Arabidopsis thaliana: one gene and its partners. The protein of the gene in region 2 binds, or shares a complex with, the protein of the main gene of each other region. Each region holds a gene or a part of one and is shown on either strand. Other genes may lie near its edges. The genes, in order: NdhS, PnsB4, NdhT and PnsB1.

Region 1 (7,102 bases), on a different chromosome or scaffold from region 2:
CATAAGATGCTCCAACTTTAAAACGCTGTCGTTTTTGCATTTCGACAACAACCGTTGAGCTTCATGCTTTGTCATCTTGATCTTAACCCTCACGACCTCTTCCTTCCCTTCAACCATTTTCAAACTCTCTTTTTCTTCCAGAGGATTCTCCTTTGGTTTGAGTTCGTGATCATCATCAAAACTCACCGTCTTCTTTGGCTCGAAGATCTTATTATTCTCTAACTGAAACCTCACAACCTTACGTGGCTTAGCCAGAGGCTTTTTATTCTGTTCATCTTCTTCCTCTTCGCCTTCTTCAAACCTCAGCGATTTGTCAATCCTCTTGGCTCTCTGCAAGCACCGAGACTTTTTGGTCGATTCTACTGAAACCTCCTTTGATTCGTTCAGAGGCAACGTTATGTCTAAGTCGTCTCTGTAGATAGGTTTTGCTTCTAGAACGTTGTCGTACCTTTCTTGAAGCCTGTTGAAGCATTTAGCTAGAGAATCCATCATTTTCTTTTTTTTTCTTCTTCTTCAACAAATAGGGAGAGAAAGGTTTTGTGTTATCTTGAAAGTTTTTCTCTATATAATAAATTTTCGTGGGGCAGAGAATTATATAGGCGACCAACTTTACCATTATTCGGACACGTAGTGAAGTGTGCTTTGGGGTAAGAAGATGACGTCACTTTGCCGTGGGATACTAGAATAGTAGAATTTAATTATTCAAGTTTGCTTTGCTTTACTATGCAAAAAGTGTAAGAACCATCTATTACGTTAATATCTTATAAGCATAATCAAATAATACAAAACAATTGACAAGTCCATTAATTTACAGTCGATGTTGATTTACGGGAAGGTTATATTGAATTGAAGATAACTGGTTAAATTGTAAGAGATCTGAAGGTAAAAATTAGAGATAATCAGTTTTTACCAACGATCGTATAAGTATCTGCGTATGTGAATGTAACCATAGTCTATTGATGAATTTAAGGTAAACCAAGGAAAAGTGATTCTATTGCATCATTAATCAGTCAATAAGCTTTACCATGACTTTAAAGTTTTCTCTAATGTTGCTCTTCTGGAAATGACATTAAGTAAATCGGTCATCTTTATCCAATTTTTAATTATTATCTAGCGGAATAATCAACTACAAGACGTTTTCATATATTTTTTTACAAAAAGAAAACCAACTTTCCACTGAAAAAAATTGGTGCCGTGCCACTGGCGGCATATGACATGGTCAATTACTTCATTTTGAACTGGTCTAACTAAATAATTGAATAATATTTACAAAACCAAGATAAAAAACAAATACGAAAACAAGTGTATATTTGTCACAGATAACAGATTCTTTATGTAATTTGGCGTAAAGTCCGTTCGTCCAAAACCAACCTATTCACAATGTACAATTAGGTCAAGTCGAGTTTTAAACGAGGAAAATTGACAGTATTTTGTATAAGCGCTTCTTGATATGAGAAAGAAAGCCTTGCACAGCAGTAAGGCTGCATAACAAACACGATCTTGGTCATTACTCAAAATCGGAAGATGAATTGAATTAAGAAACTCATACACACCCAAAACAAGTATGTATCTAAGTATCTTCCATTACTAGAAAGTTCAAATCCTCTATTATTGTTTTCTCAATTTTTAAAAAGGAACAGTTACTAGTATAGGGAGATGATTTCGTACGTGGATATTCAACAAATGACGTTACACTTGATTATGAAGATACCAAGTTTGTGGAACCATACTTGTTTTTTTAATCGTTGTCATTTATGATGATAAAATAACAAAGAAATCACATTTAGATTTTTGTTTTTGTTTTTGAAAGGTACAATATCAAGAGAACATGGAAAGTTGTATAAATTCAGGCGAATCCAGCAATATATCAAAACGTCTATGGACTCATTTTTGAAAGTAACTTATCTCATATTTATAGTCGTCTTCTACATTAGAGTTTCAAGTAAAGGTGCTTATGCAATGGCAAACCTATCTCCACCCGTTCGAGTATATTTCTCTCTTACCACCAGAGGTTTTTGCATCTCCTTTAAGAGTTTTCTAACGAGTTTTTTTTTATGTGTAATAACTGTAGACTTGCGTTCTGAGAGTTGGAATCAAGTGTTGCAAAGGCTGCCAGACAAAAGCAAAGAGAAAGTTGCTAAATGTCTCTGGTAATAGATCCACTAGTGAAATATTGTTAAAGCTATAGTGTTGTTATAAATATTCTAGCTAATATTATTTTCGAAACAGGGGTGAGTACAGTTGAGTATAACGCAGAACAAGGGCTCTTGACAGTCACAGGTGATGCCAACCCAACAACATTGCTTCATAAGCTTACGAAATGGGGCAAAAAGGCAGAACTAGTCTCTTTTCTTGGAGACAACTACTCTTCCCATGTTCCTAGAACCCCGGAACAAAACCAAAACAAGACAATGGAGAAGAAAAAGAAGAAGCCAACAAAGTGTTGTCTTCTAATGTGTTTTGGAAATAAGAGAAGCAAGAACACAAAGATTGAGCCTATGGCGATACCAAACTGGCAATATCGAGGAGTAGGAAATGAAAATGGCAATGCCAGGCCTTTCATTAACGCGGCAATGTCACCTCCAATGGTGTATCCTCCTCCACAAGCAGTGCCTGGCTTCACAACACCCATACCATACCCTCCTCCTAGTTTTTTTCCAGGAAGACCACCACCACCATACACTGGTGCTGGTATGTTCCAGTCAGCTCCACCACAATCCCCACCATATTTTCCAGTTCCCAACCCTAGGCTGCATTACCCGCACCACTGATACAGTTCTTTCAGACGATACATTCATTGCCTGTTTCTTCTCTTAGCTATGACTCAAATGCTGAGTAATAATAAGATGGTAAATTCTTTTCAACATGTAAGGTATATGAAGAAATGCAAATGAATGATTTCCACAATAAGGCAGACTAGAAAACACATATAGACAATTAACTTGATAAACTTTTTTTTCGGCCGGACTCATGTTTTAAATGATACCAAAAATAAACATATCTTGTTGGGAAATTAGTAAATATTTTATCAATTTATTAGGATTTTTTATAGAAACGTATATATTATTTAGTGTAGACAATAGAGAGAAACAAAGAAGTGGTTAATACTTTTATTGAGATAACGCGTTGAAAGCTTACCAAATTTTGGTGGATTACGACCAACCACCCAAAAAGATTTTTACGCTTGACTAAGTCCTGGTTCTCTCTTAGTCTCTACCCTTTGCTATCAAACATTCAGTCTGAATCTGAGATTAACATAATTATGGCAATTAATGGCACTCAAACAAAAAACACGATTGAGTCAAAAACAAAAAAGAAATTCCTAGTTTGATTTTTATTTATGGTTTTGACTTGAGAGGGATTTTTTTTGTCCCAACAGAGAAACGAACATTGTGAGGCTTTTAAATGGGTCATATAGACTTATCTGGGCCTAACCACAAAAAATGGCCCACTTTTGGAGAAACTTTGAAAATAAACCCGAAGGTTCGGGAAAATACAGAGAGAGAAAATTTCCAGTCGCCGTCGTCAACATTCTCCTTTTGGTACACAGACGAGAACGAAAGAGCGAAAAGAAGATGAACGTAGTTCACGGTTTGAAGAGGATTCCTCGCATCAAATTCCCTCAGAGACATATTAATCCTTCAGGTTTTCGATTATCCATGAAACTCTCTACACAGAATCTATGTTATTTTTTCCACAATTTTGCTCGGCTTTTTCTCGCTTGATTCGAATTTTTTTTGTGTACGGTTTCATTTTCATGAATCAGATATGAGATTGTATTCATTTGGCTGTGAATTTTTGCTTTCCGATCTATTTCGCTCTGATTGATTTGCATTTACATAGTTAGATTCAAAGGATACACAGATTTGTTTAGCCATTGAATCGAATCGTGTTTGTTATCAAATCTCGAATCATTATAGAGAAGCTCTTATGTTTTTTAGCTTTTGGTTTGGGTAATCATCTGTTTGTTATGCGATTTACTTTCTGGCATTGCAGCTTCAGAGGGAAAGAGTCAGGTGGCAAATGAAGCTGATACATTGTTCTTCTCCAATTTGAACAACATCCAAAAGACTACTGGCGGGAAGGCATCATCGCAGCCAAAGCGCACGCCAGTTTCAAACGAAGAAATGGAAGCCATTTTGGTATGTAACTTCATTTTGACATGTATAACAACACTTAGATGAACATGTATCTAACAGTATAATGTGTGACCAACTACTAAGTTATAATTATGTGACCAATTACAAGTTGAGAGAACCCTTTTCATGATTTAATAATATTGTTCTGTTTCTAACTTCCTTATCCTTTTCTGAATTTTTTTTACAGTTGGGAGGCTGCATCTGATCATTTCAACATGATCTGTTGACAAGAATGGTGGATCACTTCTCATCTTTACCATTTACAGAATATACTCGATAGTCAAGAAGAAACTGATATGGTTGATGTTTACAACAACCAATGATAACAATAAAACTACTCCATTGCAGTTTTTAACTTCTATACTGATTCATCATTGATTGAGTGCATTTGAATCTCTATTATTAAGTGCTTTATGATTGAAATTCATCGTTTATTCTTTTTTTTATATCACATGATGAAGCTCTTTTAGAACCAGTCAGAAATATTGTAGCCTAAAACGCAAAGGTACGTTACATATACATTCACAGGAACTTACATACAGAGAAGAGAAGATCACTTATGGTGCTGCCTCTTCCTTTTGCATCTGTTCGATAAGAGGCTCGAGAATACAAGACTTTGGATTCTTACCCGGTGGACCTTTTTCTCTTCGTTCAAGCTCTTCAAGCCTGAAAGTAATGAGACGGTCCCAGTTTCCTCCTTCGAACAAGACACCAGCTTTTCCATCAGTGATCCTCTGCACAATTCCACAATACATGTGATACGGACTGTTCTGGTTCTTGACTATAGCAATCATCCCCGGCATGAGAAGGGGTAGCTTGGGCGCTTTCGGCTTCTTATCTGTAGCAACCGCGGATGCATCGCTTCCTTGTTTTGCAGGTGGTGGTGGTGGAGGAGGTGGTGGATTTTTTTCGATAAACGTTTTTAAACCCTTTTCGCCACCGGGAAATCCTCCTGTGAGACCCATCATCTCTTTCTCGAAACCATCTTCAGGTACTTTAAAAGACAAGTTACTGTCATCGCTCTCTCTCTCTGTCTCGTTGTTCTCAGCCTTTGATGTCTCTTGCTCGTCTTCAATGTTCCTCTGGAGCTCCTTCTCAATACCTTTCTCTCCGTTGCATAATCCTCTTCCTCCCATCACTTCCCATAGATTGAATTTACCCATGGCCTTTACTTGATACAGTTTTGACTGCTGTTTTGGAGGCGGGAAAACCGACCGGTTTACAGTTGAAAATTGATGTGTTTGGCCTAGAAATTTTGATCGATGAATCGGAGTTCTAATGGTCGGGATAGTGATCGAAGAAGTCGCCATAACTATTTTTGCCTGCAGAGTAGAGTAGAGGTGACTAAGGGAGATATGAAGAAGATGGAAGAGGAAGGAAGAAGCGTGTGATTGATTCGCTTGTTATAATGACCACATATCATGATTTCAGTTAGATGAGTTCTATCTATTTCCAAATTACCAGTGGACCTGAACCGGTTAATGCGTAACCGGTGTTTGGAATAATGATTTAGGAGAAAGAGTAGGAACATTTGGGCTTTGTCATAAGTTTAACCTGGACCAAGTTTGAATATTCTTAAGAGATATGGGCCTAGATTAAAAACAATGGTAATGTAATTAAACATATTGCTAAATGCTAATAATGTGGATTTGTTTGTTTATTAAGAAAAAAGCAGCAAGAAGAAGATAAATCATTTGGGTCAACGACATTAATAATTGGAATCCCATACTCCCAAATCATAATTAGACATACACTTTTGTCTTAGGCTGTCCTTTACACTCATCGGCATCACCAAATACTTAGTTGGCAACTTTGATCAATTAATGTATTAAGCATGAATGAAAACAACTTTTACATTGATTCGATAAATTCATTATATTGTAGATAAGATTAGTCAAAAGTTTACAAACATTCGTTAACAAATTACAAAACTTGTAATATCTGCAGCAATGCCCATGTGGGTAGAGCTGGCTGACGCAACCTAACCGGGGGATAAAAGCGTCTTTTTGGTACCAAATTTAAAGTTTCTTTATGAGTAAAATTCCCAAACCCAACATCTTCTTCCTGCTGAAGCAGTAAGCACTCAACCAAAAAACCAATTGCGTAAACACTTTCCCTTGAATACAGAGATCACATTCGATCAGGTAAAAACAAGGTCTCGATCTTCTCTTCAGTCAATTTTTTCAAATTATTCGAGGTTCCCGTCATTCGATTCCGACTTCCGAGCTTCTATTTCTGCTCAATGTTTTTGTATTTTGTTAGGGTTTCCAGAAAATTCGATTCTGTTGTTTTTAATTTGAGCTAATAAAATCTAGAATGGGAAAAAGAAAGAGTTCATTTTCGTCCTCTTTCTTTTTGTAGAAGCTGAACTTTGTTTTTCTTTTACAGCGAGCTGATTTCTCACAAGGGATATCAAAATTTCTGGTGAAGTGGGATTGTAAAATTCGGCGTTGAAAGATATATAAAGAGGTATGTTTGATCCTCAGTGAGGAATAAGGATTTTTAGTAGTTATATATCTCTCCAAGTGATGATACATACATACTTGTGGATTAGATCTATGATAAGAATAAGCATAAGATAGAGACTGAGAGACAAGTCATTTAGGGAGATTAAATAATGTTCATGGAATGCTAAAGTTCATATAGGAGTTTGTCTCATATCAGAATCTAGATTAGATCATGCTCAGATGACATCTCTTGAATGGACAAAAAAGTTTTTAACTATGTGATTTTTTCGACTTCTTTTGGGGAATCAATGTACTACAAGCTGAGAGTTTTAGAGTAGTTTCATCTCTGGCTAAGCTTTGATTCATTTTCTAGTGGAAGGTTCTGGAGTCGTTTCAATTCATGGATGATGGTACTCCTAAGAAGCTAAACATATTACCTGATCACTTTAGTGCTCCTAGTCCCACAGCAGAATCTTCTCAGCACGATACTCCATCATCTTCGCAGCCAAAGGACGA
Region 2 (8,253 bases):
ACGGTGACTATCTAAAGCAGAGATCACAATATCGGCAAGTTTCTCCCATTGACGGATCTGTTCGATACCGTCGCGGATGGCGTTACAGACATCTAGAGCTTTGATGCTCCGTTCGAAGTAATCTGAAATCAAACGGTCCATCGGAGATTTAGAGATCTGAGATCGGTGGTTGAATACGATAGCTCGAAACTCTTCTTGACAACAGAGGAAAGAATCAAGAAGCTTTCCGATCCATTCGAGAGAGAGAAGGTCGTTTGAAGAAGCGTTGAGATCGATGAATTTCTCAGCGACTTGTCTTTGAAACGAATCTAGCTCAACCTCCATGGTGCTTGGCTCGTGGTGGCTACTACTTCCGGAGACGACTGTTGATGAGTCAACTTGGTCTCGCCGTAAACTTAGCAACGACCTTCCAAATGATCCTTGAAAATCCGTAGCTGGCATCCTCAAAACAGATGCAAAGTGGGAAAAACAATCAGATTTTTGTTTCTGTAGAAAATTCTCAGACTTGTAAAAAAAGAAGAAGACTTTTTTTTTCTTTGTTGGATTGAGAGAGAGTGATGATGATGATTGATGAAAGCTAGAAGAAGAAGAGATGTGTTTATAAAGCGAGAATTTTGACCGCGTATTTTAATATCTGCTTTAGAAACATTCAATATTGGATAATTTTCTCATTTTCCTTAACTAAATAAAAAGAAAGGTGTGACGAAATAAAAGCTATAATTTGATTTGTTGTGTGTTCTCATTCCTTTTTTATTTTCTCTTTTTGTTACTCGGTACAGTACACGCAGTGGACACGTCTAGTGGTAATAAAATAAAAGTACACAGATCTGTCTGTAATAAAATCTCAGTTTGAGGAAATTCATTGGTCACGGGGCTGTGGTATATGAAGTCGAGAATGAGACATTAATGGGTGCCACGTGGAGAAAATGGGAGCTGTGACAGAGACTTGGTCAATGCAATGCACATGTGGATAAAAAGCCAGCTAAGTCTTCGTTGGCGTGTATTGAAGAGAGAGATTGGTAAGTAAAGGGACTCGGTCCTGGTTGATTCTTTCTCGTCGTTCTAGAATGCTCAAGGACACAAAAATGTTGACATGTAATTTTGTCTATATCCTTTTTTTTTTTGGTTTAATGTTAAACTTTACACCAAATAAAAAAAAAGGTGTACATTGTACAATGAAAATCTCAAAAACACACCAAAAAAGGCTAATATAACATTTTATTAAAAGAGATAACTATGAGTTGTATCACAACTAATGAGGTGAATTGATAGAACCAAAGTAAAACTCAAGGAGAGAAATGCTGATAGTGATATCCTCCAGCGAGAAGGAGATGAGACGACTGCGTATAGTGCGTAACAAGAGACTCAGTAGCATGGATGGTACTAGATTCATTTGAGAAAATCGTTTTATTACGCTCATTATTAATCAGATAGATCGAGGTTTGAAGAAGGAGTTTCAAGATCTTACTTACAAAATGTGGAGGTGTGGATTGAACATTCAAGATCCACAAGGAGGCTGACGGAAACGAGATTGTCTATATAATCGTATGATAGTATAAATTTTGTGTTGAAATGTGTAATGGTGTTTTTTGGTAACCGAAAATTGAAATGTATTATTATGAAACTGTATAATGAAAAAAAATAATTATAATGGAATATGGTAAATATGTGTCATTAACAAGTCATCAATCATGTTTGGGCCAGAATTAAAATTGTACAACTATAAGAATTAATTGACACACGACAAAATACACTACATGCAGTGATGCAGATCTTTTTTTTGTTTAAATAAAAATGTTACATCATATCTCCTGTCATGTGTTCCTAACACACACACAAAAAAAAGAAATATCTGAAAATTAAACTTAAATTTGAAAAGAAAACAAAAACAATAAACCACACGTGTGGTTTACAATTACAAGCTCGAAGAGGCTTTGAAACATGGAAGCACGAAGGTTACTGACAAAGACATGACAAGCTCTCCTTCTTCACCTCTGCTAACTTATTTTTTGTTTTTAAAGATTGATTAGTTTTGGTTTTTGTCAGGTAGAATCGTGCAGAAGCGTATTTCCCGCTAATTGTTCCTCATCAGACTCACTTTCCAGTCTATACGACCAATTAATTTAGCCCCAATTGACTAAATTTTTTATACTTAAAAATAATAAATATTCACTCTGACCAACTTGCGACCGAAGAAATCAAGAAAAGCAAATTAAGATAGTTTACCAAACATAATTATTTATATTTTTAAGACATCGGATGTCGTCAACAATAAATTTCTGAAGGAGACAATTGCTCCTAACATGATCGTTCAATGATTCAGAACACAAGACAACAAAGAAGTACATAACATATATTATATATATGGAAGCTAGAGAGTATATATAATGTTGCATGACTGATATAAGAAAATATATAATGTGTATGTAAAGTGGTTTATGATTCACAAGTTAGTTTTCTACTTAGTAACAGCTTCTTCAAGCTCTCTTAAGCCACCAACCTTCTGTTCAATTTCTTCGATAAGTTCTTCACGCCATAGCTCCGCTCTTGCTTTCTCTTCTATGTCTTCTTGCTGCATCATATAACCCAAAACACAATAACAACTCTATCCAATCTTATAATAGTTGTACACATTGTGAATCTGTGATGATATACCAAAGGTCAATGGCCCGAGCAAGCCCAGCCCGACCCAACTTAGGATCAATGTTACCTACCATCAGATCTGTTAACGTTTGAATTATTATATCAAGCCCAACCCGGCTCAAACTTACTAAGCATGATTGATCTATCAATAGGATGGATCAATGTTACCTACCATCTATCAGATTGTGACTTTCGTTTAGATGATCAAGGTTGTGGATTCATATTTTTGGGTGCATATATACCAACGGTAAACGCTAACCTAAAAGCCACCTATTTTTCTTTGTTTAGGGAGGTTTATCGCATGCTGAGACACATGGAGGAGTACTCAAAACCGGCTCTGAACAGGTCTACATGGCCTACTAAGACCAAGGTGGGATAGTCTGAGGTCAAACTAGATCTGAACTGGTCCACAGGGTCTAGTAAGACCACAGCGGGTTGGTCGGTCCATTGCAACATCCCTAGTTATAATTTGTATGCATTTCTAAGTTTTTTTCTTTCTTTCCTAATAGTATTAGAAAGGGAGAGATACATACAGTTTCATAGACCCAATATCCAGTTCCATCCCCTCCATCTCCACGGTACTCCTCTGAGTCGTAGAATGGATCCTGTATTGATCCAATATCACAAAGTACTATTAAGATCCCAATGCAGCAAATGTATCAAAAGATTCAGTTTGAGTTGTTGTTTTCATACTTTTGCTGAACCGAAGTACAAACATCCCCAACAAGTGAACATGATGTAGAACATATCTGCCATATCAAGATCAATATCAAAACATAAGAAAAAGAAGAAAAAAAAGTCTAAGAAAGAAAATAAAATCTCTCAAGAAACCCCAAGTGTTTAACTTACAAACATTCTTGATAGCTTTATCACTTAGATGCCACACGTGTTTCTCTGTAATGATATCACGCATTCCTTCTATTTGTTGAACCATCACAGCCATTAATGGCAAATCATGTGGCAATGCCTTTCTTACACATAAGCTTCCTCTCATCAAATTCCTTTCCCTCTTCTCATTAACATTCTTCTAATTTTTCAAATTCTAAGACGTAAATTCACAAGAATATGGAGATTTTTTTTCTAATTTTAGTCTTAGTTAGAGAAAATTACTTACAGATAGCCAATATCCATGATTCGGTCCTGAATTCTGCTTCGGCTACAACACAATACACAATTCTTAAACTTTTTTTCGTAATGAAATATTTTTGGTAAGAATATAAAATAATATGTACCGAGTGATTGTAGGAAGAAGGAATATGAAGATTTGTGAAGGTGAAACTTGTGAAAGCTTCAGCCATTGTTACTTCTTGATGGTGGCAATGGAGAAGAAAAAAAAAAAATGTTGGTGTAATCTTTTTTATTTTTTCATTTATTTTAATCTTTAAGATTAGATTTTTTGAGGCAGAAAATGTGTGGATAAGGGAATTGGTATCGTCCACTCTTCACTTTTGTGATAAACAAAATAAAAAAATAACGTACGTTAGCAATCACATCGCATAACACTTTTTTTGTCTTTTAAAAGCCCAATTTAGACAATCACAGTACACATTTTAGCCTTCTAAAACGCTCAGGTTGGGAACAACTATTTGCCTTAAAGAGTGGTAAAGATATTTCCAGCAAAATTCAACTACAAACTTTCGTATTTTACCCGTCCAACAAACTTTCCATTCGCGCAGGTTAGCAATCACTAAACACGTTCACTCCTCTAGACGTGCAAGTTAGTAACCACACTAAAATTGCTAATAAATCTTTGGTTGGTGAAATTCAAACTTTCCGCTTATGTCTCTTCCCAAATACATCATTTGTTGAATAGCGTACGTTGGCAACTATTGCCAAACTTTTAATGATATTTCCATCTAATTCAACTTCCTATGCGCGCATGTTAGCAATCATCCCAAATACATCATTCGTTGAATAGTGTATGTTCTATTTGCCAAACTTTCAATGATGTATATCCATCTAAACCAGCTTTTATTCGCGCATGTTAGCAATCACAATAACACGTCTACTCTTCTTAGCGACTAGTATTTTGTCAAAAGTCGGAAGAAAATCTCCGGCCAAGTCAACTTCTATCGCTTTAAAAAGCGCATGTTAGCTATTAAAAAGCGCACGTTAGCATCATTTTCGGGAAATTGCTAATCAAACTTTCCACTTTCGTCTTCTTCCCGTGTATATCTTTAATCTCCTCTGTTTGGTGACTATTATCCAATTTCCACCGATCTTCTCCTCATAAAAACACCTCTTCCTCAACGAATTTTTTATCCATGAGTCGCATAATGGGATTGTTCGATCTCGAGAAACACTTCGCCTTCTACGGTGCTTACCATAGCAATCCGATCAACATTCTAATCCACATCATCTTCGTTTGGCCAATCTTCTTCTCAGTTTTACTTCTCCTCCACTCGTCGACCCCAATTTTCGACCCCTCTCAATTAGGGTTTTCTCAATCGTTGACCCTCGACGGCGTTTTGCGATTTAACGTTGGGTTTATATTCGCCTTGATTTATGCTCTGTTCTATATCGGTTTGGATAAGAAATCTGGATTTGTAGCTGCTCTTATGTGTTTCTCTTGCTGGGTTGGTTCCAGTTTTCTTGCTGTTCGACTAGGATCTTCTCTTGCCTTAAAGGTTAGATTTTTTTTCTCTAATTTCAATTTAGGGTTTTTGAAAAAACTTCATTTTTGGAGAAAATAATTGCGTAGAAGCATGTTTATGAGGGTATATGACTATGTGTATCCATGTGTTGCTCTATGTGTATATTTATATGATGTGAGTGTGGTTCATGCATTTATTGTTCATTGTTTTCTATGCTTTGACTTGAAAGTTCGTTTATATCATTGGTTATGCTCGGGGAAGAAGAAATAGATTTATTTATATCATTAGTCCTCTCTATCTGTTGTCTATGGGTCCCTTCATTAGCTGTTAACGTTGAGACAGCAGTACTAATATCATGTCTCTAGCTTTGAACATTCATGATTAGTAGTTATTGCAGTTTGTTCTGCAATTGTCCACCTTTGCACGGTTCTGATTCTTTGGTCCGGAGACTTGTCATGTTTTTAGTGTTGTTGACTCATTGGTTAAGAGGATTTGATGTGTGCTTGGACGGAAACAAGTGTTGTTCTTGACCACCAACATTTGGATGGTCTCAGATAATTAGAATCTACATCACTTGTTTAACTAAAGTTTGGTTTTTCTTCCATAGTATTTGAGACATCTGTAACTTAGGAGCTTTTTTATGTATCTTCTGTGTTGTGAATCATTTGATTAGTTTATATGTATCTTCAGTCTGAATCATTTGATTAGTTTGTTATATGTATTCAACAGCAAGGGGAAAACAGTTAATACTCACCAAGACGCCAACTCTCTCTGTTATGTAGATACTGTAACAATTTAATTGTCTTTTTACTCAGGTTGGGTTAGCATCTCAGCTGTTATGTTGGACCGGGCAGTTCGTTGGCCATGGAGTATTCGAGGTAAGTTCTCTGGCTTTTAGAAATCATTGTTTTGATTCTCCTTTGTGTCTTGTCATCCGTATACATGAGTCCTAACACATATGTTATTGATTCTTGTCTACTCACAGAAACGGGCACCTGCGCTGTTAGACAATTTACTCCAAGCTTTTCTCATGGCTCCTTTCTTCGTGTTGCTCGAGGTAAAAGTTGTTGGTGTTATGTTATGTTGTGATTTGTTTGTTATCTCCTGCTACCTTATTATACTGCTCTGTGGAAACTGTAACCAGAATACATGAAAAGCTAATGTGGAAATGTTTGAATGAATACAGGTTCTTCAATCGGTTTTCGGGTATGAACCATATCCCGGTTTTCAAGCGCGTGTGAATGCCAAGGTAGAAAGTGACATCAAGGAATATAGGGCAAAGAAGCAGAAGAAGAATAAGATCACATAAGCTTGGATTATATATAACTGAAGAACTTGAACCCATTGTCGTGTTTCTATAACCGAAATGATAATAAGACCACCATGATCCATGGATTGATGTATTTGTGTGTAAACTATGTTTCAATATATTGAATATAATATGTTTCAGTCACTCATGTTTCAAGAAAAATAAACAAAATGCGTTGCATGTATTACAATCACATATTCACAGGTCAATTGTTGTTCCGCTCGACTTGTTTTAGTCCGTTTTGAACCAATCAATTCTTTGTGTTTAACTAATGAGTAAAACTGGTAGCTTAAATATAAACTTTTATGATTCTTTATGTAATCATAAAAACACTAATACAGTATCACCTAAATTAAATTCATATTGATTAAATATGTAGCTTAGTGTTTTATTTATACTAGCTAGCTACTAATATCAGTGTATCATAATAATTAGTATATAAATTATATATAAAAAAATCCGCTTGAGGCACCTAAAATGTTTGGATTCTAAAGATAAACATCTTCTAGATTGGAATTCGGAGGTGGGAGGGAATCCAACTTTCTTTATTGTTGATACTCTAATCAATTTATTAATAGTATCAATCTTGAAAAAATCCTTAGAAATTAGAATAATAATGCAGCGTTGAAAAAAAGAAAGAAGAATACATGAATGTTGAAAGACAGAATAATAGTAATGAAGTGACTAAATATCTAGTTTCCAAAAAAAAAAAAAAAAAAAAAAAAAAGTGACTAAATATCTATCACGTGACTAATATGTAAACGCAAAGCGATACCGAAACGCGTTTTCCATGTGCCCATACTCCATAAGACCATAACGATATCGTCTTAAATGTTGGTTGTAACGACATTATTTTAACATTCTACTTGGCCACGATGTCACATAACTCATGGTGATGTGGATATTTCTCGATTTATACCGCATTTTTTCTTGCACCATATTTATTATATGCATTGACTGTCTATAAGCGGTCGTGTTAGTATTTTCGTATCATTAAGAAAAAAGAGAATTATTATGTTAAATGTTGTTAATATGAAATCCACCGTTACATTGGATTTGAAACGTTTTTTGTTTTCTTTGTAAGAATAGCTAGAATGTGTTCTGGGTAACATATGTTGCTACGTGCTCGAAAACATCGGAATCTAATGCTTATCGATTTTGTCTTTACAATGTGAAACTTTATAACTAAAGCATAACTTTTAAGGTTTTTTTTTTTGAGTTTTCTCTTGTCTTTTCGTGTCTCATCAAGCCAATGTAACTTGAAGAATTAGTAATGGTTCTACCAGTAATCCTACATTACTTATTTTTATTTTTGTATTCCCTTGATTTTGTTTCACAAATTAATCATTATTGCAAACAATAGGTTAATCTGTTCATAACAAAGAGTACCATAGGATATTATCAAAGTTGACAAAAAAAAAGAAGATATTATCAAAATAATTTGAAAAAACAAAAACATCAACTTCGTACATTGAATATATAACGTTGCATGATAAAATCCAAAGCAGCGTGGACCAGAACCAAAAGAAAAGTACTGCAATTATCACAATAGTTTTGTCTTCTTCTCTTTTTTTTTCTGCTTAACTGATCTTCCTAATTAAAAATTTAATATACAGTATATACTTGATTGTCAACAGACAACATATGATTTTCTTCACGATCACCAAATTTATATATGAACACAACCTTTCATTTATTTTAAAATGG
Region 3 (7,876 bases), on a different chromosome or scaffold from region 2:
ACTTGGAAGAGTTGTTATTTAAGTGTCCAAAAAAATCACTGTTTGACTAATATTGTACATGTGGAAATTGCGTATGTACCCCTAGGAAAATCTTTTTATACTGTATGAATATATTGTGTCAGATTATTATTATTCTTTGCATGTAGTCTTTTTTCTTTTTTGCTATTTATTTATTGATTTTTAGGGAAACCAGTCGTCATCGTCATTTCTCTTTCTAAATGGAAAGTTGTATCCCTTCTTTCCCTTATTAAAACACAGTCCAAAAGATAAAAGTTAATGTAACATTTGTATTAGGTGCTAACTCTAATTCATAACAAAAGTGAAACTATCTCAAATCACCATAAACTTATGATATTAGCCGGTAATCCAAGTATTAACATACCAGTTTGTATTAGGTGGTAACTTTGATGCAAAACTTATGAATTCAAATTTTTAATACCTCTAAGGGTATTATCACTATATGTAAACAGGTATTAGCCGTTAACAAAATGTTAACGTAACAGTTGTATTAGGTGCTAACTCTAATTCATAACAAAAGTGAAACTATCTGTAATCACAAGGAACTTATGATATTAGCCGATAACCCAAGTATTAACATATCAGTTTGTATAAGGTAGTAACTCTGATGCAAAACTTATGAGGGTATTATCACTATATGTAAACAAATATTAGCCGTTAACAAAAAGTTAACGTAACATTTATATTAGGTGCTAACTCTAATTCATAACAAAAGTGAAACCATCTGTTCAAACCCTCCTAGTCCAAAAACAGTCTCATCCTTCCATCTTGAACCGTCAAAAAAACTTTTCCTCGTCGCTTACTTACCGCCCTGCAACACATTAATTTTTTGATTAGCAGTCATTTTCCTTTTTTATCAGATAACATTTACTTTATCGACTCTACTTTCTTCATACACCATCAACAAATGTAATATGTAAACATTTTTTTACCCTGCTAATTCGTATATTATCATGATATTTTCAAAATTATCGATAATCCAAAGTTATCAGCGACATCTTCTTTCCTGTTTTCAAAACCATGGTAAAAGTTTTGTTATCGACTGTTTTTTTCAAAAAAATGATAAGGAGCTATATATATATATATATATATATATATAGGTACACACCTAAGACTTAAATGCTTTGTGTCTCTTTCTTATAGGTACAATATATCTCGCGGAAGAAGGCTACTGATTCTTTGTTTGTATAGGGGCAATTATGTCATATTTAATTTACAAGAAAATTTCCACCTAAATAACTAAATGATATGTGTAGATCCTTAATTATATATTCTTCCATGTATAGATATTTCATTCACCCTTTTGTTTATCATTCATAAACTATAATCCGCAGTAGTGCGAATTAAAAAAAAAAAAAGTTTGCGGTGTACTAACTACAGATAACTTTTACGTAGAATTTTTTTTATCCGCATGCGATTTATCGTCCGCTCTAAAAATAAAGTGGTTTTGTCTGTTAGCGATTTAGTGTGCTTTTTTCATTGCATCCATTGAAACCAAAATAGAATACAATAGACTAAGGCCTTGAATGTTTTGTAGATTTTGTAAGAGTTTTTAGATTTTGTTTTTCAAAAACTTATTTTTATACCAATCAAGATTATAAAATTTTGGTTTCCCTACAATTTAGAAAAACTATTTTGTTGTAGTTTTTGATTCATGATTTTAATTTTATAGTTTTCCTAAAACTTAGGGAATCTAGTTTTTACTCCATCAACGTTATTTTTCTCAAAAACTAAAAACCAATTTTTTGGGGTTTTTAAAACAAAAATATAATAACAAAAATCTAAAACTAAAATCTAAAATCTAGAAACTAAAATCTAAATCCAAAAACTGAATCGAAAATCAGCATCCATTCAGGGTCTAAACCAAAAATAAATCATCGAATCATAAATAATTTTTAGTTTTGATGGATTTTTGAGAAAAAAAATATTTAAAAATATTATTAATCTTGAATTTTACAAAAGAAACTTGAAGTCTAAAAATATTATTAATCTTGTAAGGACTGTCAAATGCTTTTAAAGTCTTAACAGTCCAATGTCAATCACCCCCTAAATAAATACTAGTGGTCATAGAAGTAGGAACCACTTTCCCCTATCTCCATTTTTGTATGAATCCATGATTCCATATTCACGTCCATGTTGTATACCCTATTTAAGTATAAAAATAAGAAGATAATCACATAATTTTTCTACCAAAAGACTATTGTTCTTATCAATTTCCATATCCTTGTTTTTCATTTTGTATCAGAACAAAAATTCGTACAATGACTACGAATAACAAGGACACACTTGATCAACTTAAAGTAAGCTTTGACGACGTCCAAGAGAAGCTCGTGAAGATGCATGTAGAAGTAGAAGTCAATGAGAAATTTGCTCACATTGAAGCCTCGCTAAAACAGTTCATTGAGACAATGACAACACAAGCCATGTTCCAAATCAAAATGTGATCGACGACATTTAGTACTTAACCGTTGACGTCTCAATTTGGGTTTCCAGTGAAAGGCTTATAGTGCTTAGTGTGCAGACAATTTTGGCTTCTTCACGTGCTATCACCCTTCATTTACTCAAACTAGTCTGAAAGAACAACAAAATCCTTTATCACTTCATCTAGTTCTATTAGCTTATGTGCGTTTGTTATGCGGATGGACTGAAGTTTGCTTGATAAATTATGCTTCATGTTTTTCTTTTGTCATGGGACCATTTATAGTCTTTTGATTATACTCTTAAACTGTTTTCATTTTTAGTGAAATATTTACATCTTAGGAAAAAAAGAAAAAAAAACGTAGTCAAAATGTGCATCGAACAGTTCTAAGGAACACGTCTAAGGAGGATTGAGTCAGGTGCTACATATATATAAGACTTGATAAAAGGGTATTGTTGCAAAAGGTAGTGAAAAAAGGGTAGTTTTGCAAATCTCCCTAGTTTTTATTCCTACTATACTTCCCAAACTAGTGAATTCCGCATTAGTTATCAAAACTACTATTTTGTTCGCTTTGTTTTATATAAATGAGACTATTTGGATTAGCTAGGTAAGCATAACAAAATATAGCTCTAAAACAATGTTTGGATAGCTTAGAAAAAATCCAAAAATAACACACACACAAAAAAGGTGAGGAACAGAACCACTAGACCACTTTATTTTAGTTCAAATGATCTTATAATCTGTAATTGTTAATCTTCCATCTACATATAAACTATATGAATTTTCCAAGTATATACAAAGCTCCTTACCTAGTAAGAAGGATCTTTGAAAACAATCACAAAAGCTATACAACAAACAGCGAATAATACGATCAAAATATCGAACGTGAGAGCAGTCATTGCTTGATCACTAAGCTCCATGTTTCTTCCACCTAACCGGTCAACCATATCAGGTATTGATTCATAGCCCCTAAAATCTTGCTCTTTCGGATCCTCTAGCTTCATTCTCATTTTCTCAGCTTGACGACTCGCAACTTCTTGAGCCAGTGTCCAGTCATAAAACCTCCGAGTCTCTTCATCGCTCAAAACATTGTACACTTCTCTTAATTTCATGAACTTTTCTGAAGCTGTTTTAAGTGGTAGTGAAGTTGTATCTGGATGATACTCTTTAGATAATCTCCGGTACGCAGATTTTATCTCTTCTAGATCAGCATCCGTTGAAACACCTAAGAATCTGAAAATGATTATTGTTACATGTTACAATACATATTGAAAAATAAAAATAAAAAGATATGTAATGAGAATGTTTGTTTTGCTCACTGGTAATGAGAATCAAAAGAGTCTTTGATTAGTTCTGCAAATTTTTCGTCACTAAGGAGATTGGTTTTGTCCTCATCAACCGATTTGGCCGGGTCGGATCTTCCTCCGATCCAGCCTTCGTCCGGGCTTTCCCAGTGGATTCTTGTGTCTACTCCTGGAGATGGTTTTGACGGTTTAGTCGGGCCTTGTGACGCGTATATACGCGTCACTCTTCTTGCTGTTATCCTTCTAAATGCTTTCGTGTCATCCGTGAAATGCGCGCCGTTTTGGATTTTGGGTAGGATAATGCATGAGGTTCGTGCATAGGTAGAAGTTGCATAAGCCATGGCTCTGTGTTGAAGATGGTTTGTTCTTTTTTTTTCTGCCCTTCATGTTTTTGGTTTCTCTTACCGCAGAAACTTGTTCCAGAACCTCATGATATGTGTGGTGTAGATTTTCTTTATATCTTTTGTTGTCCTATCTAGTGTCCATAGGAACAAAAAATTTAAATAATTAAATGTCAACAAAAAAAAAGTATGAAACGTAAAGATATAAGAGACAAAACGTTGAGAAGAGAGGGGCAATGAGAGGAAGAAATAATGTAGAGATAAATGATTTCTTTCTTTGGAAGCGATGTCTAAATATGTTATGCAACAAATGTGTGCGTTTGTAATATATATAGGGTAAAAATAGACAATTGTATCATAATTAGGATATGACCCGCGATATACCGTAAATTAAATTTATTTATTTATTTTTCTTTATCACAAAATATAATTTGTTGTTTGTTGTTGTTTGTGATGATTAATAATTATCGATAAGGTTGTGTATGTTTTTTATTGAGTCACAATTATGATATTAATAAGTCTAATATATGTTATTTTATCTTTTAGGATTTGACTTGTGATAGACCATACCACGGGATAATATTTTATTTTATTCATAATTTGTTATAAAAAAATTATTTAATATAAACTTTTGGTGTTTTCAAATTTAATCCATGGAACATATGTAGTTTAGTAACTTTATATTAAAATTACACATTTAAATGTATCAAAGAAGAATAACATTTAGAGGTGTCAAAGAAGATTAACACTTATACTAAAATGTTGATTTTATTTATTTTTTTGTAACTAAAAATTTGAAATTAAAATTGTATTTGTTATGTTATTATTGTTTGTTTTGTTTACTATTGTATAGTTGTAATTTGATTGTTAATTCTAGGAGTACACCCGTGGTATCCAAATTTTTCCCATCTAAACTCATAGCACCATATAATCTCGTCTCATCCAAACCCGTCCTACCATGTAAACTCGTCTCCTGTAAACCCGTCCCGCCATATAAATCCGTCCCGTGATAACTAAAAATCAAATTGTTCTTTTTCTTTTTAATAATATTTTTATTTAATATACTTCGAGTCGGTTTACAATTTCAATTTAAAAAGAAAAATTGTATAATATATTGAAATTTTAACAATTTCAATCTAATAAGAATCAATATCGGATCGTTTCGAAGATTTTATATCGAATTCTTTGAACAAAAAATAACACAATTTCTTGTTAAATATTTTGTATCTTTTAAATTAATGTATTTCCTATTTGTATATTTTATATTCAATATATTTGGTTTTGATATAAATTAGAAAATCCGTTTAAATAATTATTAAAATTTGAATCCCGAAGATATTTATGTGATTTTTTATAATTTAAAGATTGTTGTTGAGATTTTTTAGTGTCTATTTTTTGTTGCATTTATTTGTTTGCAAGGTCTATCATAATTAAGGTGAAGTTACAAAAAGATCTGTAAAGTATAATATCGTTCACATATTGATTATAGAATTATTTAGATTATTTTTAAAAAGGAAAAAATTACAACATATGCCATATTTTTTCCAATCCTTATGCAATCTGCCATAATTTGCTGGGCCTTACAACTCATGTCATATTTCATACTGAAATATCGATTTTGTCCCTCTCCATTTCTTCTCTATTTTATCTCTCCTTCCTTGAAATCTGTGCGCTTTAACCATATATTATTATCTTCCCGAAGATGAAGCGCTTTTGTCACTCTCTCACTTTCTTTGACAACCTGCACAGATTCTTTACATGTAACTTTCAATTAAATTTGTCTCTCAATTTTATTCATCACAATATTTCTGTTGTATCTAGATCTTGTCCTTGATTTCATCATTTTTTACCATCTATTTTGGTCCACAGATTAGTTGAGCATTATTGTTTTCACCGACACGATTTTTTTTTCTTCTATTGTAAAACAACAAAAATATTCAGTTATTACATATTATCTTGTCTATCATTCGATCTGACTTTGTCCCCGATCCAATTCTATTACTCATTCGATATGAACTTGTCCCGATATAACATATTATTAAAATATGTTAACGTGTAGGTGAAGACAATAACGCTCAACTAATCTGTGGATCAAAATAGATCGCAAAAATTTAAATAAAATTCAAAATTATTAAATGAGAACAATTGCATATAAGATGTAGGATTCATAATAATAGAGCAAGATGGTGAAATCGAGGACAAAACGTAGATGCAAAAGAGAATTTCTATTCGAGGACAAGATCTGAAGACTAAAACAAAAGTCTTGCTCCAATTGTTCTCCGCTAATAGGTAATCATGTCTCCTAACGCATTATATATTACGTTGTCCCCCGCTATCAGGTAATCATGTCTCCTAATGTATTATATATTACGTTGTCCCCCGCAGAATTTTGGATAACCAATTTGTTTAAATAAGTCATTTTTAAATACCCAATAACAACAGTAGAAGCCAGTTGTTCTCCACTATTTTGTCCCCTAATTCTTTATTCTTCCAGCATGATTTTTCGTCTTGTATCATTACATCAGCCAAAAGCTGTTATGTCACCATCTTCGTCAGAGCGCTGACCCACCTTAAGGATAATTTCGTCCACTGAATTCCACGTGCAGCAAAATGTGGCATGAGTTGGAAGGAGTTACAGAATATGGCAGGGATTGAAAGAAATAGAGTGGAATATGGCAGATTTTGCAAGATTTCCTTTTAAAATTATTTTGTAATTATATGTTTAATTGAAGAAAGATTCTTTTTTTTTTCATGATGCCCTTTTTCAACTCTATCCTTTTATTTTATCCATTTTCATTTCTACCCTCTTTAAATTTTTAATGACCATTTTACCCTTATTTGGAAATTATTTTAGGTTAACAAAATGGAATCTTAATATTTTTTCGCCTAAAATATTCCAAAACAAATTTTCCGCCAAAATTTTCCCGTCAAAAACATTTTCCGCCAAAAGTTTTCGGAAAAAAAATTTCCCGCCAAAATTATTTTTTCAAAAAAAATGATCCCACAAAAATTTTTTTGGGAGGGAAATAGATTTACAAGGGATTTTAAAAGATTTACAGGGGATTTTAAAATGGTTTTAAAATATGTACTAGGAATTTAAAAAGGAAAATTTACAAGGGAATTTAAAAGGTTTTTAAAAGTTTTACAAGAGATTTTAAAAGGGTTTTAAAAGATTTACAAAGGATTTTAAAAGGGTTTTAAAAGATTTACAAGGGATTTTAAAGGGATTTAAAAGATTTACAAAAGTTTTTTAAAGATTTTTAAAGGTTTAAAACTGTTTTAAAAGGATTTTAAAATATTTACAAGGAATTTTAAAAGGTTTTTAAAAGATTTACAAGGGATTTTAAAGGGCTTTAAAAGATTTACAAAAGTTTATAAAAGATTTTTAAAGGTTTAAAATTGTTTTTAAAGGATTTTAAAATAATTACAAGGGATTTAAAAAGGGTTTTAAAATATTTACAAGGGATTTTAAAGGGCTTTAAAAGATTTACAAAGGTTTTTTAATGATTTTTAAAGGGTTTAAAAGTGTTTTGAAAGATTTACAAAGGATTTGAGATAGTGAAATTGATTTGGGGATTTAGGGTTTAAATTTGTTTCAACAGACAAAACGACGTCGTTTGTCTTTGCAATAAACGACATTGTTTTGTTCTAACAGAGCAGATAGACGGAACATTAACGTCGTAAAAAATTATGTTAACCTATTTAATGGGAAGTCAACAAAAACTTTGTCATTTATTTATAAAGTCAACAAAAACTTTACGATTTATTTGTTTTCTCTGAAGTTTAAGATTAAA
Region 4 (8,705 bases), 970 kb from region 2:
CAAATGATGATTACAAGTTTTGACTAAAAAGGGAAGGGGTTGTTCTAAGGAATAATGGAGTATATAATTATTGAATTTTGTTTTCTAATTTGGTAGTTAATGCTTTGGCAATCTAATCTACATGTGTCGATTTTCTATCGAAAATATAAGAAGTAAAGCGTACTTATCAAAAGTTTACCACAATTCCCTCTTTCCCTCCCTTTAACTAAATCTTCGTTTACAGAAAACTTCAACTCCAAGTTATTTTATTTCTTCTAATTAGGGAAGTTAAAATGCGTAGGAAAAGCTAAATCAGATATTCTTCTAAAATTAGCAGTAAATGATACGTAAAAAAAACTTTCAATTTTCTTGTCCTCAGCTTAAAACTTAGTAATAAGCCAAAACGTAATAGAAAAGTTCTCTACCAAAATAATCATAATCCCCGGAGTAGTAAAGAAGAAGCGATTGTGAAATAGGGCCAAGTGGCCAACTTAACGGTAAAGATAAAACAAGGAGCCCACAACTCCACAAGGAAGTACGCGTGGTTACGACTTATGACAACAAGTGGGATCCGTACACTTTTTTTTGTTTTGGTAAGATTCGATAGTCAGTAGACAACACTCAATACCATATCAAGTTTTTCTCTGTTTCTTATTATAATCGACACGTAAATCTTGTTGACATATCAAGATTCAATGACACCTAATTAGTATAGCCCTTCCATTTCTCGAGTTTATAAGAAAAGAGTTGAGGAAACAAAAAAACCAAAGAGATTAAGAATTTACTAGTACTTTCTTCATTTCTTGTATGTTCATCCCCGGATGAATATAAAAAAAAACTTGTAATTTGACTGAGATGCCTACCAAAGGCTATATAACATACCAACCATTGGTTTCGATTATATATGTCCACAAAAAAAGTTATTAGAGAATATGCCAAAGATGAATTTGACGTCCACAATGCATGGCCGTTATTTATCAAGAATCGTTTTTTCACAACTCGATCGGTGATATAAAATCAAGGAATCTAAACTCAAAACAATTTTTTCCTTCCAGTTTGAAATAAGCTAAATTAAAATGTAGCATGTAATCGATTCACACAAATACGTCTGGTCTAAGAGTTCATCGCAACATTCTACTATGCATGAACCGATAACCAAAATACATCTATACAACACCAAAATACAAAACTAAGAACACGTCACGGTAACAAAACCTCGTTGTGTCAATTAATCTCTGGAAGCAGAACAAACAACATTGGTACTCAAATACGTTAATTAGCTTATTTCAGAATGGCTCTTATTTATCACTCTCTCTCTCGTTCTTCTTCTTCGCCTTCGTTGTTGTTGTTGTCTCTGCATCTACGCAACAGTCTTGGTATCTGAAGCAGCCTATGAGATGATCATTCGTGAGTCCAGCTGCTTGCATGAAGGAGTAAATAACTGTTGGACTAACGCTGCGAAAGCCTCTGCGTACAAGATCTTTGCTTATAAACTCAGCTTTCGATGTCTTCACAGGGACTTGGCGCTGATACCTGAATTGGCTCTGTGTAGGCTTGTTGTTCACAAAGTTCCACATGTACTTCTTCAATGATCCACATTCAGCTATAATCTGGATGAAGTTAAGAATTAACAGGCAGACAGATTATAATATTTAGACAAGTTCTAAGTTTTCAGTAATTATGATCAGTAAGTGTGAGCTTATGTTCTGTTACCTTGCGCACATGGCGTGAGTTATCGAGGATTGATCGTATCTTGACCTCTGATAGTAAGGAAATGGCAGCAGTACCTGGCGCTGTTAACTTTTTGTCATTCAATTCAGCTACAGCGACTGGATCGAAGTCCATAAAAACTTCCCTGTTTCAAATAAGAAGCAAATTAGGCAATCAGAGATCAGAGCTACTGGCTTAGCATCAGAAGTTTATATTGCGAATTCAAAATTCATATTACTAAAGAACTTGGTTTGGTTACCTGAGTATATGTCTTCTGGAGAGAATGTCGGTCCATGAGAGTTCGGCTAGAGCACCAGAGAGGCATAATAACTCAAAAAGCTTCCTACACAAGTTAACCAAGCGGTAAGAGACTCTTATAACTACAAAGTGTATCTCAGATAGAAGGAAAATAGTTGAGGATGCCACATACTTGTCGTCATGTACAGGAACTCCCCATTCTTCGTCATGGAAAGCAACATAGCACGGGTCTTTACAACGTAGAAAAACGCAACATTATTAGTCAATTTACAGCAGAGAAAGATATGAAGCATGAGAGAACAACAAAGAATAATGGAAAGTGCCTCTTGGCATGGAAACATTTATGCTCATTAGTATAGAGAATCCAGAAAACGCTGTTTGGCTTACACTAAAAGCATAAACGAAGTGGATCTATCAGCTAATCAAAACATCCTTCATCTAAATTTCATGGACACTGAGAAGTTAAAATATTTATAAGAGAACTTCAGGACAAGCTACTTCATAAGTTATGCAACATAGCAAATGATCTACACAATGCTCACTGAATAAAATACATAGCAATTGAAACATTTTGTTGGCCATTGAATTACTTAATATTCACATACAGAAGAACATAATTAGATCAAACAAAAAACACTAGCTCCTTGTCTCAATTCAGTCCCATTTGATTCAACTAGATAAGAACTTTATCATCTCACACAATCAGGCTAAACTCAATCTCACATTCACATTTTCACTCATTTCATTTATTTGAATGCATCTAAAGTCAAAAGCTCTCTCACTATGCAATGTGTGATAGGTGAAAGTTTGATGCTTACCAGCTTTAGGTGTGATCCAAGCACACCTTTTACGACCATCAGCGAAGCAATCACCAGAAACCTTCTCTTCTTCTTTCCCAACACTCAGCTTCCTTGTAGAAGAGACAGACCCACTTCGCCTCACAACCTTCTTACAGCTCGAAGAAGACGCCACGCTCAAAGGCGATGACTCACACGAAGACGAAGCATCAGAGGAATACGAAGCAGTCATTGAAGCACTATTCTTTCTCAAAATCGAAGAGCAAAGAGACGAGCATTGCTTCAGAGTCGTCCTTGGTGAAGCCGGAGTAGTTGGTTTCTTCGCTTTCTCATCTTTTGAGTCGATGATGGTCTTCTCCATCATCGGCTTCTCCAGTTTCATCCCCGGTGGTTTCCTCTGCAGCTTGTTCCCGGTAGGACCAAGAACTGATCGGAACTCTCGCTCATCGGAATTTACGGACCGGAATCTAGGAGGAACCGACATTGACCCGATTCTCACAAAAAACTGCTTTTTGATTTCACAGATCTATCACTGGATCACACAACAACAACAAAATTGCTATTTCCAACAGTCTCGAAACTTATTTCAAGAGATTATATATCGGAAGGCCTAGACTTTACAGCTACATTAGCACCAAAAATGAAACTTTTTTGTCACCGCTAAATATCTCATTTTTAGGAATCTTCTAGTAAAACTAAACCAAGTTGCTTGCTGTGTTCACGAGAAAAGCAAGGTTAGAAACAATGAGCAACAAAATAAAATCTTTGAACAATGAAGAAAAAAAAAGCTTTTGACTTCAGAAAAACCCAGAAAAAAAAAAGAAAGAAAGAAGCTTTTTCTGATCGACGACGAAACGAATCAAATCGAGAGAGAGAGACGAGGAGAAAAGGTCATTCACCAGTCACGACTTAACACGTCATCGTTTGGTTCTTCTGCTTTTTCTGTTCTTTTGTTCCTCGACCCGACAATGAAACGGGTCCTTATTGCTCGACCCGACAAGTTAAATGGTTTAATTGCTTACTGTAATCAGTTGGTTAATGCTTCTGAGTTCTGAGATTAGGAATGTTTCTTTGCTCGTGCGTATCAACCAATGTAAAGACAAAAGTTTTAATTAATCGAACAGAGAATAATTTCTGGAATTGCCATAACCAAAATAAATAAATTAAATGCTAAGTTTTCTTCTATGGTCGGAAAATTGCCACAAAAGGGACCCACTTATCCTAAGTTCCTACAGAGATCTGTTTTCTTTCACAACATTTAAAAATCCAAACTTTTCTTTCTTTGGCTCAAAAAAACCTTCCAATGGCTTCTTCACTTCCTCTGTTACCCAAACCCATTTCCCCATTCTTTAAAACGCCGCCGTTTTCTACCTCCAAACCACTCGTCTTCCTCAACTTTCAAACTCGTCTTACGTCGAGATCTTCCGATGTATCGGTCAATCTCAAGAAGAAGAATAATCCGTGGCTCGACCCGTTTGATAGCGGTGAAGACCCGGATAACGAATACGGGTCCTTGTTTGCCGACGGAAAACAAGACGAGGATCCAAGACCACCGGATAATCCTGATAACCCTTACGGCTTCTTGAAGTTTCCAAAGGGTTACACCGTCGAGCTTGCTTCTTTACCGTTGAAAATCAGAGGAGATGTTAGACGATGTTGCTGCGTTATCTCCGGTGGCGTTTACGAGAATCTACTCTTTTTCCCGACTATTCAGCTAATCAAAGACAGGTAATAAAAGTATAAGACTCTGTCTCCGATTCGACATTTTTTTAAAACCTTAAACTGAAATGCAGAACATTGTCCGTACGTTTCTGTTGTTTTGTAAGGTATCCTGGTGTTCAGGTAGATATATTAACGACTGAAAGAGGAAAACAAACATACGAGCTAAACAAAAACGTGAGATGGGCCAATGTGTATGATCCGGATGATCATTGGCCTGAACCAGCTGAATACACAGACATGATCGGACTCCTCAAAGTTTGTAACTTTCAAATATTTCAACGTTTTTTCTATCTTTCCTTTATCAGACTGCTTAGTTAACTTTTCTTTTAAGTCATGTTTCAGGGAAGGTACTATGACATGGTTCTGTCCACGAAGCTAGCAGGGTTAGGCCACGCAGCGTTCTTGTTCATGACAACGGCTCGAGACAGGGTTAGTTACATTTACCCGAATGTTAACTCTGCAGGAGCTGGTCTGATGCTGTCCGAGACCTTTACAGCAGAAAATACCAACCTTTCAGAATTAGGTTATAGCATGTGAGTTCCTTGAAACCGAAGAAACTGCAGGTTTTTTTATCGCCTGTCTAAATTGACTGTTGATGGTTTCAGGTATACTCAGATGGAAGATTGGTTAGGAAGACCGTTTAGGAGTGTTCCAAGGACTCCTCTGTTGCCACTTAGGGTATCGATTTCACGGAAAGTGAAAGAGGTTGTGGCTGCAAAGTATAGGAATGCTGGAGCAGTGACGGGGAAGTTTATAGTGATTCATGGTATTGAATCAGATTCTAAGGCATCAATGCAATCAAAAGGAGATGCTGATAGTTTACTTTCACTTGAAAAATGGGCTAAGATTATAAAGGGTGTAAGGTAATTATTACACACCTTCAAAATGTGAATTTTTTGCTTAGTTTGAAATTCTCTGAGATATGATTGTGAACAATGCCAGGGGATTCAAGCCGGTCTTTGTGATTCCACATGAGAAAGAAAGAGAAAACGTTGAAGATTTTGTGGGTGATGATACATCTATAGTGTTCATCACAACACCAGGACAGGTATGCATGCTTATCTGTCTGTATTTGTTATGAACAAAGTTGAATTCACTGATCTTACTTTGATTCCTTTTCTTGAGCTTACTTAGTTGGCTGCTCTGATAAACGATTCTGCTGGAGTCATCGCAACAAACACAGCTGCGATTCAACTAGCTAATGCGCGAGACAAACCATGGTGAATACCTGAGTAATATAAAGAGTACTGATTCAATGTTTTCAAGAACTAACATGTGTGTGCTTCTTTTTCTTCCAGTATTGGGTTGTTCTCTTCAGAAGAGAAAGGGAAGCTCTTTGTACCGTATGCAGAAGAGAAGAGTAACTGTGTAATTATTGCTTCGAAGACTGGAAAACTAGCAGATATCGACATTGGAACTGTTAAAAATGCAATGCAGGTCTTTGAAGGATCATTGGCTCTCGTGTAGATAACTTTACAGTTTCTGAAACAAGTTCTATATATAGAGCATTTATGTGTATAAATCAGTTATGTAGTCTCTGTTCTGATGTTGGCCTCTCATCAAGAATTGGATTATTCAGCATCAAAATCAGGTTCCGGAGGCTTTTGCAGATTTATCAAGGTCTTTGAACTCTCTGAGCTCCTAAGTCTGTGCCCTTTCAATGCATTAGCAGCAAATCTTGATGCAAATATCGTTGAACGCAGTCTAGAAGAAGACTCACTTCTTGTGATAACCATAGGCCTCTTGTCACTCTCATCATCATATTCATCTTCATAACCCAATTCTTCTTCTTTTTCTTCAATCCGTCTCAATTCAGCGTTTTTCCTTCTTGAATAGCGACGCCAAGCAGCTTGGATGAAGCAAGAAGCCCAAGTTCTCCATTGCTGAGAGTAAAACCTAAATGTTTGTTGAACCTGTCGACTATGAAGTCTCCTAAACTGACTTGCTACAAACTTCAGCTCTTCAGCTTCAAGAGCGAAAGCCTCTACTTCAGTCAGAGCCTTCACTGTTCTTGTGGAAGAAGGTAAGTTTGAGCCTGCTTTAGGGTCAAGAGCCCATGTCAGAAGCTCTTCACCACAAAAGTCTCCTTCTTTTAACAACCCTCTGTTGAAGAAACCGCTTCTTCCCCCATCTGTTGTTACACTTTCTAACCGGCCTCGGATTATGAACATCATTTCGTTAACGGGGTCTCCTTCACGCACAATGTAAGTGCTTTCCGTGAAAAGACTCGGCTTTAATCTCTCACAGATTGCGTCAAGTAATCTTTCATCCATATTAGCAAACAGAGGAACCTGTAGAAACAGAACACATAGTTAGTTAGTATCTCAAGCAATTTTAGCATTCTGATTGTGAAAACTTACCCTCCTAACTAAATTCAGACAGAGATGGCGTTTGATGTCTCTTCTGAGATCCTTAGGTAAACTCTGAACTATGTTTTCTTCGTCTACACCTCTTGTCTCTAACCATTTGTATTGATCATAGCGTCTGACTCTTTCCCTCAAATTTTGTGGAAGTGACCTGTGATGCATCCACTGTTCTGAGTCACGTCTTTTGATCCTCATTTCCTCGAGACGAACAGTAAGTGACTGAAGATAAGTCTGCATATTCCCGATGAGAAGCGCGAAAAGAAGAAGCCCAGCTATAGCAATCGCAATGGAAAACAAAACCTCTCCTGGAAATGTACTTGTCTGCAGCCCTTGACCTAACGTGCTGTTCATGAAAACACCAAAGATGTCAAGAGTACTCTGCACAAGCTATCGGTTGAACCAATGACAATGAGTTGCCCCCGCCTTACCTGAGATTTTGAAGACCCCACCATAGACAATAACAGAACTTGGAGAAAAATGTTGTTGATGATACAATGCCTGAAGATATAGCCTGACCGTATATCCCATAGTTAAACTTTGAATCATCTGCTTTAGCAGAACAATTGCTCTTAAGAAGCTCAGGGACTGTTTTGATCCATTCAGTTTCTCCACTGCTCACAAATTTAGTCCCACAATACAGAATCTGAACACAGAGTCGCGGATCTGGCTGAACTTTACACGCAAATCTCCAACAAGTATCGTTACGCTCCACTGACAACATGTACCAAAACGCTCCAGTTATCTGTCAAAATGTGTTTGTAAAGTCAGAAAGTGACCAATGATGAATAAATGTCTCAAAACACTAATTAAGAAGAGTCATATATACATAGAAACGCTTACGTGGCTTGCAAGCATATACCAGAGAAGATAATAAGCAGCACCAGCCCAAGCTCCTTCGGCAAAAGCTCCTGCAGTTTTCTTCAACTCTGATGTTAACGGAATAAACCTCACGAATCTCGGAATATACTGCACAATTACAATGTTCAACAATGCCGTTTTCGTTGGTAACACATCCGATCCTTTAGACCCGTGAAGAAACTTCCACACTGCAATCTGTAATATCCACACAAAACATCATAATCAATCCCAAAAGTCCAATATTTTTAGTAACCATCAAAGGATCTTTTCACTCTGTTTTACCTGCGGTAAAGGCAGCACTGCAAGAAAATCGACGACGAAATAACGGGTTAAATAGCGTTCAGCGATCTTTGCAGGATCAATCACAAGCTCACCACGACCAAACACACGAGAAGAAGGAGCTATATAAGCTGTACGAAACTGAAGAGCCATTCTAGTTAAGTAAAAAACGTCAACAATGGTTCTAAGAGTCGTCGTTGTAACAGCTAGTTTCGTATCAATCCCTATACAGCTGCTTCCGGAATTATCGACAATGGGAAGATAGAAGAACAAAGGATCAACAGAGACAGCTAAAATACACGAAATGACGAACAATCTGTTCCATACGAGAAGTGTTTTGTCTTGAGGATCAAAGATTTTCTTCTCTGTTATTCTTAAGTCTTCTGGAAAAACCGCTCTTGTAACGGATTTACCGATGGTTATTAGACCTTCTGATCTGATTTTTTTAACTCCTTCCCTGAAAGATTTGGATGCTTTCTTCTTTTCACCTCCTCGGTTCTTTAGGTTAAATCCGAAACAGTTTCTCTGCATCATCATTCCAGTCGCAGGAGAAGAACTTGAATCTATATCATCTAACCTGTAATTATAAGTTAAATGTCATTCATAGATCTGAAGAAAACAAAGAAAAATATTGCGATCTTTTGATTTTCTTACCTAACGAATTTTTCTCTTTGGCCGCTTATGTATTGGGATTTGTACATTATTCTGAGAAACAATCATAAGCTTCATGCAAAAA

The links.
Region 1: PnsB4 (region 2) and NdhS share a complex: the UniProt entries of both Arabidopsis thaliana proteins name them as parts of the chloroplast NDH complex.
Region 3: PnsB4 (region 2) and NdhT share a complex: the UniProt entries of both Arabidopsis thaliana proteins name them as parts of the chloroplast NDH complex.
Region 4: PnsB4 (region 2) and PnsB1 share a complex: the UniProt entries of both Arabidopsis thaliana proteins name them as parts of the chloroplast NDH complex.

The regions. Positions count from the first base shown.
Region 1 is NC_003075.7:12,415,897-12,422,998, forward strand, and holds NdhS (NAD(P)H-quinone oxidoreductase subunit S), read right to left. Parts: upstream 5,569-7,102; 5' UTR 5,450-5,568; coding exon 4,697-5,449; 3' UTR 4,518-4,696; downstream 1-4,517. Other genes in the region: AT4G23880 (uncharacterized protein), read right to left, coding at 1-492; AT4G23882 (Heavy metal transport/detoxification superfamily protein), read left to right, coding at 1,657-1,714, 1,811-1,986, 2,072-2,150, 2,230-2,771; AT4G23885 (uncharacterized protein), read left to right, coding at 3,576-3,645, 3,997-4,142, 4,327-4,344; AT4G23895 (Pleckstrin homology (PH) domain-containing protein), read left to right, coding at 6,987-7,102. UniProt on the Arabidopsis thaliana protein: NDH shuttles electrons from NAD(P)H:plastoquinone, via FMN and iron-sulfur (Fe-S) centers, to quinones in the photosynthetic chain and possibly in a chloroplast respiratory chain.
Region 2 is NC_003070.9:6,456,313-6,464,565, reverse strand, and holds PnsB4 (NDH dependent flow 6), read right to left. Parts: upstream 4,164-8,253; 5' UTR 3,942-4,163; coding exon 3,876-3,941; intron 3,800-3,875; coding exon 3,758-3,799; intron 3,723-3,757; exon of another isoform or gene 3,671-3,722; coding exon 3,493-3,670; intron 3,393-3,492; coding exon 3,337-3,392; intron 3,249-3,336; coding exon 3,177-3,248; coding exon of another isoform or gene 3,102-3,176; exon of another isoform or gene 2,723-3,101; coding exon of another isoform or gene 2,717-2,722; exon of another isoform or gene 2,573-2,716; coding exon 2,459-2,572; 3' UTR 2,222-2,458; downstream 1-2,221. Other genes in the region: AT1G18740 (ROH1, putative (DUF793)), read right to left, coding at 1-441; AT1G18720 (ER membrane protein, putative (DUF962)), read left to right, coding at 4,908-5,270, 6,053-6,115, 6,223-6,294, 6,424-6,546. UniProt on the Arabidopsis thaliana protein: NDH shuttles electrons from NAD(P)H:plastoquinone, via FMN and iron-sulfur (Fe-S) centers, to quinones in the photosynthetic chain and possibly in a chloroplast respiratory chain.
Region 3 is NC_003075.7:5,928,071-5,935,946, forward strand, and holds NdhT (Chaperone DnaJ-domain superfamily protein), read right to left. Parts: upstream 4,406-7,876; 5' UTR 4,083-4,405; coding exon 3,757-4,082; intron 3,671-3,756; coding exon 3,247-3,670; 3' UTR 3,040-3,246; downstream 1-3,039. UniProt on the Arabidopsis thaliana protein: NDH shuttles electrons from NAD(P)H:plastoquinone, via FMN and iron-sulfur (Fe-S) centers, to quinones in the photosynthetic chain and possibly in a chloroplast respiratory chain.
Region 4 is NC_003070.9:5,485,267-5,493,971, forward strand, and holds PnsB1 (NDH-dependent cyclic electron flow 1), read left to right. Parts: upstream 1-3,878; 5' UTR 3,879-4,047; coding exon 4,048-4,472; intron 4,473-4,570; coding exon 4,571-4,721; intron 4,722-4,808; coding exon 4,809-4,999; intron 5,000-5,071; coding exon 5,072-5,329; intron 5,330-5,408; coding exon 5,409-5,514; intron 5,515-5,600; coding exon 5,601-5,686; intron 5,687-5,764; coding exon 5,765-5,933; 3' UTR 5,934-6,037; downstream 6,038-8,705. Other genes in the region: AT1G15970 (DNA glycosylase superfamily protein), read right to left, coding at 1,278-1,589, 1,693-1,834, 1,949-2,032, 2,120-2,177, 2,766-3,228; CNGC7 (cyclic nucleotide gated channel 7), read right to left, coding at 6,038-6,757, 6,827-7,175, 7,261-7,574, 7,673-7,885, 7,973-8,546, 8,624-8,670. UniProt on the Arabidopsis thaliana protein: NDH shuttles electrons from NAD(P)H:plastoquinone, via FMN and iron-sulfur (Fe-S) centers, to quinones in the photosynthetic chain and possibly in a chloroplast respiratory chain.